Bombyx mori: one gene and its partners. The protein of the gene in region 2 purifies or fractionates together with the protein of the main gene of each other region. This does not show direct contact. Links are inferred from orthologs where the notes say so. Each region holds a gene or a part of one and is shown on either strand. Other genes may lie near its edges.

Region 1 (5,430 bases), on a different chromosome or scaffold from region 2:
TGCTTCTATCTGCCGCCGAGTGTAGAGAATCATGAACTGTGGTGTCGAGAGTAGGGCGGGTCTGGTCAGCGTCTTGCCAGTGACCATTAGCTTCACCAAGCTTCCGTTATCCTTTCTAGCAATTTGGTTACTAAGCTATAAATTAATTTATCCAGTTTTATTTTATAGATTTTGTTGTAGAATTACAACGTCCGCATTAAAAAATAACCTTCCGTCAAGGTAGGCTCAAGGTCCGAATAATTTGTCTTTGTTGTAAAAGAACACCACTGCAACTCGAGCGTTGTATATTGTGCAGTAACGCCTAAGAGTCTACCACTATAAGCAGAGCTATTCTACGAGTAATGTTTCCTGAGTTCCGTAAACTGTGTACTTAACATAACAATGTATGAAACACAAGCGGCATTGGTTCGGACGCAGGCTCTCCGTTCATTGAACTGGTCGGTGGTAAACGAAAACAAAACCGTTTTGCCGACTGTTCTGCTATTTTGGTCTTAACGAAACGCCTGTTATCATTTTGCTTTAGTAATTAGATGATGTTCTTGTAGGTGTTCGTTTATGAGATTATGAACATAGCTACCGAAAACTTATTTTGTCCATTCATTTTTATATTCGTTGTTCTGTGAGCCCAACTAATATCCTGATTGTTGACAATTTGAATGGTAATGGTAATCGCATGTTTTGGTAATTAATAATCTTAGGTGATTTCATGATTTCATTTCATACTTTTCGCAATTGAATCACGTTAGTATATTCAAGTACAGCTTGTCTAATTATTAGCTGTGTTTTAGGATCATGTCATTTGCCGATTGTACAGACAATATAGACGATGATGTTTTGGACCGATTGGTATATTTTACAGAACTCAGTTACAACGTCCAGCCGTTGTGGATGAATCTCAAACTTATCTTTAATTTATGCCTCTATGTCATTCGAAGCGGCATTAATCATACTTGTAATTGAAACTATATTACCCTTGCTTTTTCTAATGGGCTGCAAATTATGTTTGTTTTTCTTTGGGCATTGTTCAATTAAATATGATTTTGGGTTCTTCTAAAACACTAGTACATATTTTTCTTAAGATACCCTCATTGATAGCTACGTCTTGTAGCGCGGTTTTTTAATTTCCTTTTTCTTTCCGTATAAAATATTTTGATGTAGTTAATTAGATATTTACAATACGTTAAGTACTACCTAAGTTAGACAATAATGAGCATTCAGTTGTCATTTTGTCGTCAATAAAATATTATTATAAACACTTAATATAGTTAACTTGCTTTTGAGTGATACCGTACACTTTTATCCACATTTTGAGTGATACCATACACTTTTATCCATCACAGAAAAATAAGAAATGAATCGTCATTCTACGATTTCTCCCATTCCAACAACGGTCGGATGGAAGTATCGGTTAGGTTAGTGGTAAATAGACTTCACGTGGCTACCGAATCGCTACTAAATATTTAGTATCGATTTGCCAAAATATACGCCTGGGTCTCCGTATCTTTTTCGTGATACCCAATACTTGCTATTTACGACCTCAAACTTATATTTGTTGGTGCTAAAAAAAACGAATAAAAAGGTTAGAGTTGTAATGTTGTAGCTAGTTAGAAATTTATTTATAGATAGACCAACACCCCGCATCATCATATAACTAGAGCTCACGTGCCCGTTTCGATATGTCATTATTTCGTGAAATAACTTTGTAGAGATGTGTGAGTTGTGGTGTTTAGGAATTTTGAACATCTGAGAAGTATGGGACTACCTACCTTCCACTAAAATATTTATTTCATTAATCGCTTGCCAGAATCGTTCTGTTGTTTTATGTCAAGTTAATACTTATTTATATAATGTAAAAGACTCATTGAATTTTAGATTTCGTTTTTCTTGCAATATCTAGACATCTGAATACTGTCTAGACCGAGTTTTGAACTCTGAGCACTCGAATGCTGTGAAACCTGAAGTAAATTGCTTTTGGGTTCACTTCACGCAGTCTGGTTTGTGACGTCGACGAGGGCGGACACGCTGTCTCCCATATAAAATGAGCTAATAATAATCTTTACAAAAGATACACATGTTTATTTTCGGCGTAAAGTTTTGTTGTTCTCATCAAGATTGTCTCGCAGTTTGGTTGTTATGTAAACTGTTGAAAAACCCAAAAACTTTAATGGTTCGATGCGTTTTCTAGACGATATTTTCATCGATACAAAATGCTTATCTAATGCACACATGTGTGTCGAATGCCACATGGACCGTAAACCCCATGTCAAACGATAGGCATGTCGTATGTTTACACGACAAATAAACTATCGCATGCATTTGTGAAGAGACGTTCACGAGTTACGGTGCACCAGTGATCTTGAAGATTGTGTAAAGAGCTGAATCTTTGACGCCTTCACCGATATAATTTTGCTGGCGACAATCTCCGTATTTTGAAAATCGCTATGTATGGGATAGTGTGATTTCCGCACCCTCATGGACAGTGAGGGTCGTCTAATATTCTGGAAGAGTGGAGTGTGGGAGGGCGGAGCTCCAACCCTAAACTGCAACACCTGCAAGAAACGTCGCGCGGACAGGATGAGCGCCAACGAGCGACCTCAAGGGTTTGTGATCATTTCAATATTTATTCAATGAAATGTTTGAAATGTCATCACACCATAACTTGATGATGATGAGATCAGGCTTAGTAAGTCTACCAATACTATCTGCTATCACAACTTCTTTTACTACGCTTAACATTTGAATATAGATACGGCTCAATGCAGTATCGCGCACATACTCTGTGATATGATGAGTGCCTCAAAACGTTAAAAAGGGCTTTATAATATGCAGCAATTGTATGAAAATATAGAGTAAAATACTTAAAGTTTGAACTGGAATCGTCTGTAACACGGGAAATAATTTTAGAATGAATCACGTCTCCGTTTCCCCGTAACTAAATAGCTTGTGTCGGTATCGGAAACCTGTTTTTCCTTGTGAAATAATGACTGTTTGAATAGTTAGTTGTATTTTGTTTGTTATCGTAGCATCCGTTTTGATATACGATTTTTTTGTATACTTTGTTTCTGTTTGGTGCTCGTACGATTTTCTCATCGCTGAGTCGCCACTTAGCGGTATATAACTGTAAAGATTCTCACTATTTCTCATAATTGGAGATCTGACATTGTTTAATCGCAATATTAGGTCCGATCGATCGTCTGTTGGTAGACATGATCTCACAACATTTTTCTAACTGTTTGATTACGAGTAGAGTTAATGTATTGTGAAAATTGAATGTGATATTCCTGTCGCGTTCAGTTTGTAAGTCTGTAAGAATCACGTGTTCAACGTATGCTAAGAATTCAATTCATGTTGCATGGCAAAATTAATGACACTAAAACAAACTTTCTGGCGGGAGCGAGAGGAATGAAATTCTGAGAATTGTTTGAATTAGTTCATTTAGTATTCAATCTGGTTTTGCTTAATGAAATAAATTCACAATAATCTTGCATGTGTCCTCTCGGGATCTAACAAGAAGCTCATTGAAGTATCATTGCAATTCCCACTATTTTAGGACGCTAACTTATTTCATCGTGTTTCATTAAAATTCATACCATAATTAATTTGCAATAAACCAACTTCATTTCATTTCGATCATTAAACTTTTCGTAAAACAAAGTACGTAATAAAAAAGAAGAGTTTGTTGAACCCGAGGCTGACAACAATGGCACTCCGGGAAGCCGATTACAATACTGGAGAAATCGGATGAAGACATAAACACAATCTTGTTATTGATATAAATATAAAGAACCAGAATAAAGATAATTCACGCATCTTAACAACCTTTTTATCTGTCGACCATGGTTTTCTTTATATTAGGAGCATTTTTTGGGTATGGTTTGGCCGAGACGAGTTTACAGCCCACTTCGTGCAAAACAGTTCCCCAGACCATCAATACCACAAACCAGTGGGTCAATTGGTCAGATACAACCCGCTCTATAGCCACACGTGTATTTAATTTTGTACCACGATATTATTTTTAAATCGTGAAAGTCATTCATGAACACGTATTGGGTTTATTACTTAGAAATTAGCGCTGGAGAACTGTAGCATCTTAGCAGAAACCTGGATTTGGAATTATTTCGAGAACTTTCGTTGATGTACAAACTCTCATCAATAATTTTGGTTTACCGCGTAAAATGCTTTACGTAAATGACTGCTTGTCATAGTATCAGCATATGGTACGTATTTAAGTTATTAAAGAATGCAGTGTTATCTTTAACGATGAGCTTTTAACAACCGATGTGAGTTGAAACGTAAATGGAGAAAGCGAAAAGAATATTTATTTAAATTAAATTGAATTTTTGAAATACCTGTTACGGTATAAACCAATGATTATTATTTTTTTTTTATTTATTGCTTATATGGCTGGACGAGCTCACAGCCCACCTGGTGTCAAGCGGTTACTGGAGCCCATAGATATCCACAACGTAAATGCGCCACCCACCTTGAGGTATAAGTTCTAAGGTCTTAAGTATAGTTACAACGGCTGCTCCACCCTTCAAACCGAAACGCATTACTGCTTCACGGCAGAATTAGGCAGGGTGGTGGTACTCACCCACGTGGACTCACAAGAGGTCCTACCACCAGTAATTCACAAGTTTCGACAACTCGAATTCTTTGCAATTTTCGGTGTCATGGAAGAGATCGATTATTTTCTGCTTAACCTTCCCTCATCTCGAAAACTAATTATTGATTATATGTACTCATAGTATTCTACTTGAAGCATGAATCATAGCGTACACGTAATGTATAATATTATGTTACATTGTCACAGCTGATCTAATATATTCATAATAGTCATTTCACGGTACCTACCGTCCAGTATATTTATCTTCTAAATACAATTTCATTGATGTATGTCTGTCTGAATCGTTTTGTCTCTTCGGTTTGTTTATAGAATGTTACGTGGAAGTTATTGAGAGTTTCATTAACTACGCAATGTAACTTATGATCTATATTATCTACTTTTTACTGGTGGTAGGGTGTCTTGTGAGTCTGCACGGGCTGGTATCACCACCCTGCCGTGAAGCGGTAATGCGTTTTGGTTTGAAGGATACTGTAAAAAACTGTAAAAAAACTGAGACATAGAACTCATGTCTCAAGATGCTTAGCGACATACCTATACGTTAATGATGTCTATGGGCTCCGGTAACCACGTAACGCCAGGTGGGTCGTGAGCTTGTTCACTCATTTAAGTAATAAAAAAGAGTGGTCGCTGGCTTGACTGTCAACTTCATTAACCTGAATAGGCTGACGAGATCATTGTCCACCTGATTTTAAGCAGTTACCTCAGCCCATAATAAGCTTATGGTTTGTTAAAGTTTATTTCTGTTTAAAATCGGTTGTAATGGCGCAGTTTTACGACGTTCCATAGACGGGATTAACGAGCAG
Region 2 (4,697 bases):
AAAATTCGTGACTTTAAAAGTTTCCTTTGTGCTTTATAAAAACATAACAGATGAGTTTCAACCGATTTTTTTTTGTTTAGTACATTCTGAGGAGCTTTGATTGTTCTCACTATAAAAATAATTGGAGCAGTTTTTTTCCCATCTTTCTAAGGACAAATGTCAATTACAGAAGCAAAGAGAAAATGGTGGTAAGGGTTTTTGTGAGCCCGCAAGGGTAGGTATACCACTCAGCACATTTTTACTGCGAAGCAGTAATGCGTCTCAGTTTGGATGTACTGTAAAACTTAAGACTTAGAGCTCGTGTCTCGAGGTTGGTGGTTATATTTACACATTTAATGTCCATGGGCTCCAAATCCCGTTAACATCAGAAGGGCCGTGAGCCCTAAGCAATAAAAAAATATAATACATGGCATACACATTAATCTCAGAATACAGTCATTAAAAACAAGAACCTCATCAGATTGTTATACATCCACTTTAGTTGAACAAAATTTATGAAAACAATGATTTTCCTTGGTCATTTTATAATCAAGGAAAAATGTATTTATAAAAAAAAGGAATATTATTTTAATACAGGATTCAGATTCTATTACTATTTCGGACTGTAACAATCTACTGCAAGCCAGAAATACTGTTTACTTTCATTTCTCTCAATTAAGCGATGGTGTTGATATTTCTGTTCCTACATATTTCTTTATTAGAGCAGATGGGCAGAGGACTGCCAACACGATGGTTCCACAACCCACTTGCCAGTTCTAGTTAACATCACAAGATTGAGATCTCACATCGATCGGTCTTGACTACATTGGAATAGTAGTAGTTGACTACATTAGTATACGTAGCTGGACGTTTGATGCTGTGCGGCACAAATAGGCCAATGATAAATACAAGTTGCAGCCGTACCTATAGCAGTAGTTGGGCGCTGAGAATATAGTGACGACGTTTCTGTCGTGGCACCAGTTGTACCCCTCCATGACGAGCTGGTGGGCGCGGGACACGAGCGTGAGCCCGTTGCTGTGGTTGAACGTCTCCGAGATGTCCTGTCCGAACGTGTAGCCGGCTCCACGGGGAGATATGCCCCATCCACCTCTGTGTTACAAACAATAACTTTATGACGTTAATTTAATTACTAATTGTATCGTTAAACTATAAAATAACAATAAATATTGGAATCGAAATTAAATTTTTTATATGTTTAAGACTTCTCTCAAAGCGACGTCTACACTATTATTCTTTTCTTTTTTTCCTTTTTTTTATTGCCTTTGTAGGCAGACGAGCATACGGCCCACCTGATGGTAAGTGGTCACTGTCGCTCATGGACGTCAGCAATGCCAGAGGCAGAGCCAAGCCGCTGCCTACCATTAAGTGCTCTCCGCAAGCCTCGTTTGAAGAACGACATTTCATAGCGCTCGCAAAACACCGTGGAGGGGAGTTCATTCCAAAGCCGGATGGTACGGTGTTCGTGAATAAAGGGATTGAAAAAATACTTGTCAAAGCAATTCATTGCAAGAGACACTAAACTAACTACTACACAGCACGTGCATACAAGTGGTATCCATTTAGTTTCAGCTATAGTATTTTAAAAACTATTGTTGCTCGGTAGATTCTATTCTAACCTTTAAATAAGTATAATGTTTACTTCGGATTTCGCGAGTCGTAAACATAATTAAAACTATTTTTATGGTTTAATCTCGTGTTTATTACATTTTATTATTTCCGACGTTTTGAATGCTTTAAGAATTTTTATGGTTTAATCTCGTGTTTATTATATTTTATTATTTCCGACGTTTTGAATGCTTTAAGAATTTTCGTGGTCACGGAAGACTGATCTGAATACTAAATTACATCTAATACGAAATGACCAAATTAAATTTATGAATTTTACATTAACTGTTTATTAAGATAGCATTAACACTAATCATACCAACACTTACTGATACCTATTTCTACCATAGAGAGTAGATAACGGTATACGACAAGCATTACTCAAAATAAACAAAACAAAACAAAGAAATAGTTTAATAACTTTAGATTAATTGGTGAGAAAAGTCATGAAATCAAATGTGCAAAAGCTATAAGATGATACGTGCTTTTTCAATGCAAAAGTTCAAAATGGGTAATTTGACCCGTTTTCGTATGTTTAGCGTTAATTGTTTTTCATACCTGTCATCGGGATCACTCCAGAGGAGATCGCACATGGGTCCTTCGTGGGGCACTTCCTGCAGACGGTCCAGAGCTCTGATGTGGTCGAGGGTGTCGATTGACGGACTGAGTCCACCGTGCAGGCAGAATATCTGTCCATCTACGAGCGCCGTCAAGGGCAGGAAATCGAATAGATCGGTGAAGTGCTTCCAGACGGACGCGTTGCCGTATTTCCGGAGACACTCGTCGTAGAAGCCGTACACTTGAGTAATCTGACGCGATTCGTGATTTCCTCGCAGAATGGTTATTCTCTCGCGGTAACGCACCTGCAACGAGATTGACGCGTTTTATTACCTGTCACTTGACAAAACCATCATCGAACGTCCATAATACGTGCGCGTGGACTTACACAAAACAAATTTACCATCTTAGATTCTCTATTTTAAGATTTGCGCGAGTGGCAATATGATTTATGATAATTCAATTAGCCGTGGCACGTTCTTATTACTAAAGGCTCTTTCTTCATGCTTACATACGTTTAAATATAAACATTTACAGATATTACATATCTAGAAAAAAGAGTAAAGAAACCTGTTCCTTCACACGAATGTTTACCCAGTGTGGCAATTGAACCCGACTCAGCAGTCTAACTGTCTGACTACTGCGCCAGCGAGTAAATTATTTTGAAAAGTTAAAATCACGAAATCAAATTGGTTAAGACTGCAACATTTATGTTTCTGTAAGTTTATTATTTTGTATTATATTCATCGCCTATGGACTTAGAAGCATTGTTTTTCAAGATACATAAAGATGAAGATACACATCACCATTTTCACAATAATATTTAGTTCATGAAGAATATGCATGACGGTTGTTATTTTAAGGTCGCTGTATGCATTTAAATAGAGACCTTGCAACTATTAACATAACGTTCAACGAAACGATTACAAGTTACGAATTGACTTAAGTTTACTTTTGACTTATCTATTCTTCGAAATTTATCTACCTTTACTTACCGGTGATAACGGTTATTGTGAGCCCTCAGAGTAGGTACCATGATCCTGGCTACGTCTACCACGAAAAATTAATGCGTTTCAGTTTAAATGGCCCGCCGTTATTCAAGGCAACTGATAATTCGACCTCATGAATCAAGATGGTTTTATCCATGAAGCTTTATTCAGGCTGCAGTAACCACTTAACAACACATGGGCAGTGAGCTCGTTCACTATCTAATGCAAATATATATAAAATCGGAGGCAATCAGTTCTTCTGTGCATTTTTCACAGTTCAAATTCAATATGTGATAAGTAAAACATTGTATTTAAAAAGTTCAATTAAGCCTCCCCTCCTTCCACGAGATAACGTGAAATCGCTTATTCATAAAACATAATAATCATTGCAAGTCGAGTCACGTTGTACAAGATTAATATTTAAAAAAATCTTTGCTGTATCGTTTGAGTTTTAATTGTACACTCTTAATTCCTCATGTACCTTTTATATATCATAAACTAAAACTAAACTAATTTTGTAATTAGCAAGTTTTATATTTTACTTTTTGAAATTCCTAATCGTATCAAACAAGCTTGAGACGCATTTGATGGAATGTGGTCACAGCCGCCCATGGATGTGTTAAGACGCACAACCATGAGGCTGTCTTGTGGCTAGCAAAAACTTGCACACGCCCCGTCATGACCTATGCAAGTGAAGTGTTCGCTCACTCGGCCCGCACTAACTTGAAACCCCTTCAAATCATTCAATCCCGTTTTTGCAGAATAGCCGTCGGAGCTCCATGGTTCGTCAGGAACATCGACCTCCACGACGACCTGGATCTAGAGTTCATCAGCAAGTATCTACAGTCGGCATCAATGCGAAATTTCGAGAAAGCGGCACGACACGAGAATCGTCGCATCGTGGCCTCCGGTAACTACATTCCCGATCCTGCGGACCGAATGGTACACAGTCAACGTCGCCCAAAACACGTCATTTCGGAACCTCCCGATCCACTAACGGTGCTTATAGGTACCCCAAGCATCGGTCATCGTTTTCGTCGAACCCGTCGCTTGCGACGAAGGGCTCGGCGAGTAAATTAACCCACAGACACAGCCCATTGAGTTCCGATCCGGTGGTAGATTCTACGAAGCACGGCTCTTGCTAGGGTTCGTGTTAGCAACAACGTCAGGTTTGAGCTCACCTACTCGCCCGGTGCCGCTCATATGGTCTCTCAAGACCATCAGCTTAGGTAGGAAAAAAGTGGCTAGCTGGCAAGGCCGGAATTCACTAGTATTTTCTATATCGATATAGTCAAATTTCGTTCATATAAGATAAAACAAACAACGTAGGCGGTGATCGAACTTTATCATTGATTGAGACAGATAACAATGTTTTCTTCTTCATTACAAATACTAATTCTCTAAAGGACAAGTTCCTAAAAATCGCCCCTTGCGAGCCTTTTGGAAAGTTACGTCTTAATTTATTTATTCCATCTGCAATGTGCTATTCATTTGCTTCAAATCTGGGAATGTGTAATATTCTGCTTTCATACTAGATTTGAAACA
Region 3 (5,236 bases), on a different chromosome or scaffold from region 2:
TGAGATTATATTATAGTAATACCCAATAACAGTCGAAGTTCGAGCGATTTCCAAGCGCGAAACATTGATAGTTTCACTTACATTATATTTCAATTATTATTCCCAAAATATTATATTTTAAGCTTGTTAATATGATTGTCAAATGCCGCTGCCGAAAATTCAGTAATTAATCATTAGCTTGGTACTATATTTATGTATAGCGTCGGGAGTTTTGTCGCCTGTTTCTTTTGAATATGTGAACCCTGAAGTTATGTGAATTGTTTTTTTTAGTTAAGTATTGCTATAGGTTAAAATTTTAAATTTAGTTATTATTAAATATTATTATTAACTAGTTGTGACTCATTGACTGCTTAAAAAGTGAAAGTTCCAAATATTGTGTATTTGAATTAAGTCGCAGGACACGTGCACTCGTTTTTTTTTAAAAAAATACCAAATTACCAATGAAATATTGGTCATTTGCCAACATTTTACGAAGAGGTTAATTTCACTTTGTTTCAATATATTTTTGCTACAAAGATTTGAGTCCAACATTTCAATCTTCAGACTTATTTGTAAAAGCGATGTTTTCTTTGCCTGACGAATTAAACAAAGCAAATTAATTAACATAATTTACCGGTAAAATGGGGCGATTAGGGATTGAGAGGCGAATCGGGAAAAAACCGGGAAAATCTTTCGACGCTCAATATAAGTTTTATATTCGTTGCAAAATCTTCCATTTTTTGTAGTTTAATAGTAGAATGTTGAAAGTTCACAAAACAACTCTGAACATGCATGATAATAGCTACTAACTTATAAAAAATCGCGTTTCAAATTAACTTCCTGTGGTGGTAATTATTTTAGTGCTAGAAACTTTGCTCTCTTTGATTTATTTGATAATAATAGAAGACGACTATGATTTATAAACGTTATTTAGTGTTTGAACCAGCATATATATTAAAGGTAAGTCTCAGTTGTTATTGGTTTTAATGTATTTGATTAAATAAAAATACATGTAAAAATCTGTTGTTTTTGGGGATATTGGGGACGTCTTAGGTACAAATAACAACGAAAAAGAGGTCAATTGGGATGAGAATACGTGAAATGGAAACGACCTAAGTATAAATAGGTACAGGTTTGTAGGGTTGTCTATGTAGATATAACAATATTTTTTAAATTTGTTGGTAAAAATCTGGTTTATTCGAAGCGAAATTGGGAATAAGTCTTTAGTTGAAATAGATAAGCAATTTAATATAAGTAAGTCGATTTTGCAGAGACATGTAACAAGATCAATGAAATCTCAAGGTGGACAAAAATGTCTAAGTAATACATAATAAAATATTTAATATTTGTTCGGAGTAGGGGTATTCATCTGATTAATCCATGGAATAACCGACACACCTAATCTCTTAACCCAGATAGAAATATCAGCACTGTCGATTGCACCTATAATTGAGGTGATGTCTGCCATGTACTTTTGTCAGTTTTTCAATTTTTTTTATTGATGATCACTTTGTTGGTGCAACTAAATAAATAAATTAATTAAAACTCTATATAAAAATAAAAGTAGTGCCAACCCTAGCAAATTTCTCATTTCGTCCCAATTAACCGCAATTTTCGGGTAAATAGGGATTACACCTATTTTTGCATTTTTTGCTTAAACTGGAACGCTAGTTGCATAATTTTCAATTAGACAACAAAGATGCCCCCAAGACTCAATCATTTTGATCCTGATATAGCATTATATACATCAACAACTACCTTAAAATTGCTCATAAAGTTGGAATTTGTCCCTAATCGCCCCATTTTACGGTACTGTTTCCCACTGTCACGTGTCACTGTTGTCAGACGTCAGTGTCAGTATCAGATTGTGACAATTGTTGATTGTTTTAGTGCCGATTTTATTTGGTAAAGAAAACTAAAATAAACCGGAATGGCTGAAGTTGATACAGAGCAAGATATATTAGAAGATTCCTTGAGCAATATATTCGATCAAGGAATGAAATTGTATACAACTGTAGAAACAGTCAAAGAACCTATGAATAGCGACAGTGTTCAGGTAGGTTAGAGCTGTTTATATTTAACCGACTACATTATATTTATTGTTGTAATGAAATTTTGTGATATATATTATATCACAAATATATTTATAATAAATTCATAATGACTGGATATACTCAAAGATCGTACAATGCTCTCCGTGTTCAATACAATAACGCGTTTAGGGTGCTGGTGGTGCTGCCCCGCTTTTGTAGCGCATCCGGGATGTTTGCAGACGCGCACATAGATTGTTTTTACGCTACCATGCGTAAGAGGTGTGCATCTCTGGTAAACAGAGTGAGGGCCAGCTCCAACAGTATCCTGAGCATGATCGCAAGCAGGCTGGACTGTATATACATGGGTCGCTGTGGTGCCATCTCCCATGGGATGTTACCACAGTAATTCATTGTGATGTAAATATAACTACTAACATAGGTCTAAGTCTTATTAACAATTTATATGAGTCATGGATACTTGAAATAAAAACATTATTATTATTATAATAAATAATATATTCATATTTCAATTACTACTACAATAAAAATAAAATAAAAATATGAATGGAAACTATTAAATGTAAATTTAGAAATGCTTTAAATATTATCACAAATAACAGGTAACCATAAAAACTGCAATATCCAAGTTCGAGAAGGCCACGAAACTAGTGTCACTTTCTGGAATGTTCAGTAAAAATGAAAAGTTGGAAGAGCTGCCTACAGAAACATTAAAGTACATGCTATTACCTGCATTACTTGGCACCCTAACGTTGAAAATTTGCAGACCGTCCAGAAAAGATATTATCGAAGTAGCGGAAATATATTTCAAGTAATCCAATTTATATTCTTTAATACCATAAGCTTAGGTTCATCAATCTGGTACACATTGCTTATTTTCATTATGTCTGATGCTGGAAAACAATCTAGGGCTCTCTACCACCATAACAGAATTAGCTAAATGTTTTTGATTGGCATCTATTACGAATTAGCTTATAGATATTAGGCTTATAGCTGATATAAGCCTACTGAGTTTTTCCCAGTTTATTTTGAGGCTAGGGTTTACATGTTGTGATATTCAATTGAAGATTTAAATGTTATGATCCTGTTTATCTCTGAAATCATGTTTTCAGTTTGAACGGTAGATAGGAGATTTGCCACTAATATTATAGCTTAATTGCAAGTCTCAAGATTTTTAGTGCTTTCATTTCCTAGTGTTGCCAGTAGGTTCCAGTTACTATTTAATTATAGGTCTGCTTTGTTTGCTCATTTATCTAATGCTGGTTAACAAATAATATTAACATCAATGAATGATGCAGCCTTGGAGTAGTGTATTCTTATATTACATATTAACTAATTGGGCAGTAAGATTGCAGTGGCATTTGAGTAAAACAAGCATTTAAAAGATGCAATAAAAGCATGTAAAAGATCAGAATTTTGTCTGCTGATATTATTTTTAGTAAATTACTGTTTCGTTCACAGAGATTTTCTTCAAAGATGCAAAGACTATGGGGTCACAGACGTGGAGATCCCACAATTAAGTGATAGCAACAGTTCCTCATCTAGACCACAGAGCCAGCAAGATATAATAGCTGCAATGGTAATATTATTGTCCTTTATACTTATGAAATGAAAGGTCAGATTTTTAAGCAAGTTAGTTCAAAGTTGGTTATTTAAAAAAATCTGTCATCGGGATCTTGTCAAGACTTCCAATAAATGTAGTAAATAGAATTCAGTATTTTTGGCATATTTTCTTTAGTTGGTGATATCATTAAATTCCAACTTCAACTACATTGTAAATAACTTTGCAATCATTGGACTTATGTGTATGTATTCCAGTTTGTAGATCCATCTATCCACAATCCATCATCACATCCACAATCCATCATCACATCCACAGTTATCTAGTTATCATATTGTTTCAAGTGAAGGCAGGTGTGATTATATAATAAATAAAGTATGTAAAAAATATTCTGATTGTCCTGATAGTAATTATCAAACTGATGAGTACAGCAGTACATACGAGTCATGTGCCAGCAAGTGTTATCTTTAATTACTTTGTAAAGTAAATGTAATTTTTTATTTCAGGTTCAAAGTAGAGAAACTAAAATAAAACGATACAAAGAAGCAAAAGAGTTAAAAGAGAAACTCGGTACATTGTCAAAAGCTATGTCATCACCCATTGTTGATGACGAAGTTAAAAGAGAGTATTTTCTGACGATGTTACATAGCTACGTCAATGAGGTCTTGGATGAACTTAGCAGTATTGAACGGGAGAAACCTATACTGGAAATGATTAGTTGTTCTGGTGAAGGTAAAATTTTTTTTTTTGTGAGAAAAGGCATAATTTACAATTGTACAATATTATATTGTAATATATTAGTAGTACTGATTTGAAGTCGTCGTGGCCTAACGGATAAGACGTCCGGTGCATTCGTGTTGAGCGATGCACCAGTGTTCGAATCTCAGGCGGGTACCATTTTTCTAATGAAATACGTACTCAGCAAATGTTCACGATTGATTTCCACGGTGAAGGAATAGCATCGTGTAATAAAAATGAAACCCGCAAAATTATAATTTGTGTAATTACTGGTGGTAGGACCTCTTGTGAGTCCGCGCGGGTGGGTACCACCACCCTGCCTATTTCTGCTGTGAAGCAGTAATGCGTTTCGGTTTGAAGGGTGGGGCAGCCGTTGTAACTATACGTGAGACCTTAGAACTTATATCACAAGGTAGGTAACGCACTTACGTTGTGGATGTCTATGGGCTCCAGTAAGCAATAAAAAAAAAAAACATATATGTATTTACCATGCGCATGCCGAGTCCATTGTGTTCCTGAGATAGGAATTTGAAGAATTCCAATGGCATTGCGATCTTAGTGTAGGTTTAAGTCGCCTCTATCAATTCGCATTAAATTCAACTCCATTTCTCTGTCTGCCTAGCCAAATTTAATATCAGTGCAGCTGTTAGATCAAGTATGGAGCTTACAGAAGTTCTTGACAGGCCAGTCTTTTAGTAGGTTATAGATACATGTCTTGATATACCTCTCTCTCATAAAAACTACAGATTAAACCCTAAAAGAAAAAACAAATACTTTTTAAATTACATAATCATAATCAATTAGAGCGTCCATGTAAACCAACCACTTTATACACTCACACGCACTTACACACATCGACACAACACAATCAGATTCAAACTTATTCTGCAAGTTATCATTCGACAAA

The links.
Region 1: the proteins of serine/threonine-protein phosphatase 2A catalytic subunit beta isoform (region 2) and HPO purify together in Drosophila melanogaster (affinity purification with western blotting; 3 studies listed by BioGRID, with this or other methods). This does not show direct contact. The link is inferred for Bombyx mori from reciprocal best matches to the Drosophila melanogaster genes mts and hpo.
Region 3: the proteins of serine/threonine-protein phosphatase 2A catalytic subunit beta isoform (region 2) and immunoglobulin-binding protein 1 purify together in Drosophila melanogaster (affinity purification with western blotting; 3 studies listed by BioGRID, with this or other methods). This does not show direct contact. The link is inferred for Bombyx mori from reciprocal best matches to the Drosophila melanogaster genes mts and Tap42.

The regions. Positions count from the first base shown.
Region 1 is NC_085111.1:709,020-714,449, forward strand, and holds the start of HPO (serine-threonine kinase-like protein), read left to right. Parts: upstream 1-1,993; 5' UTR 1,994-2,472; coding exon 2,473-2,600; intron 2,601-5,430. UniProt on the Drosophila melanogaster protein: Plays a key role in the Hippo/SWH (Sav/Wts/Hpo) signaling pathway, a signaling pathway that plays a pivotal role in organ size control and tumor suppression by restricting proliferation and promoting apoptosis.
Region 2 is NC_085109.1:3,330,583-3,335,279, forward strand, and holds part of serine/threonine-protein phosphatase 2A catalytic subunit beta isoform, read right to left. Parts: intron 2,469-4,697; coding exon 2,164-2,468; intron 1,090-2,163; coding exon 904-1,089; intron 1-903.
Region 3 is NC_085111.1:1,744,555-1,749,790, reverse strand, and holds the start of immunoglobulin-binding protein 1, read left to right. Parts: upstream 1-1,799; 5' UTR 1,800-1,909; coding exon 1,910-2,035; intron 2,036-2,632; coding exon 2,633-2,841; intron 2,842-3,491; coding exon 3,492-3,609; intron 3,610-4,097; coding exon 4,098-4,323; intron 4,324-5,236.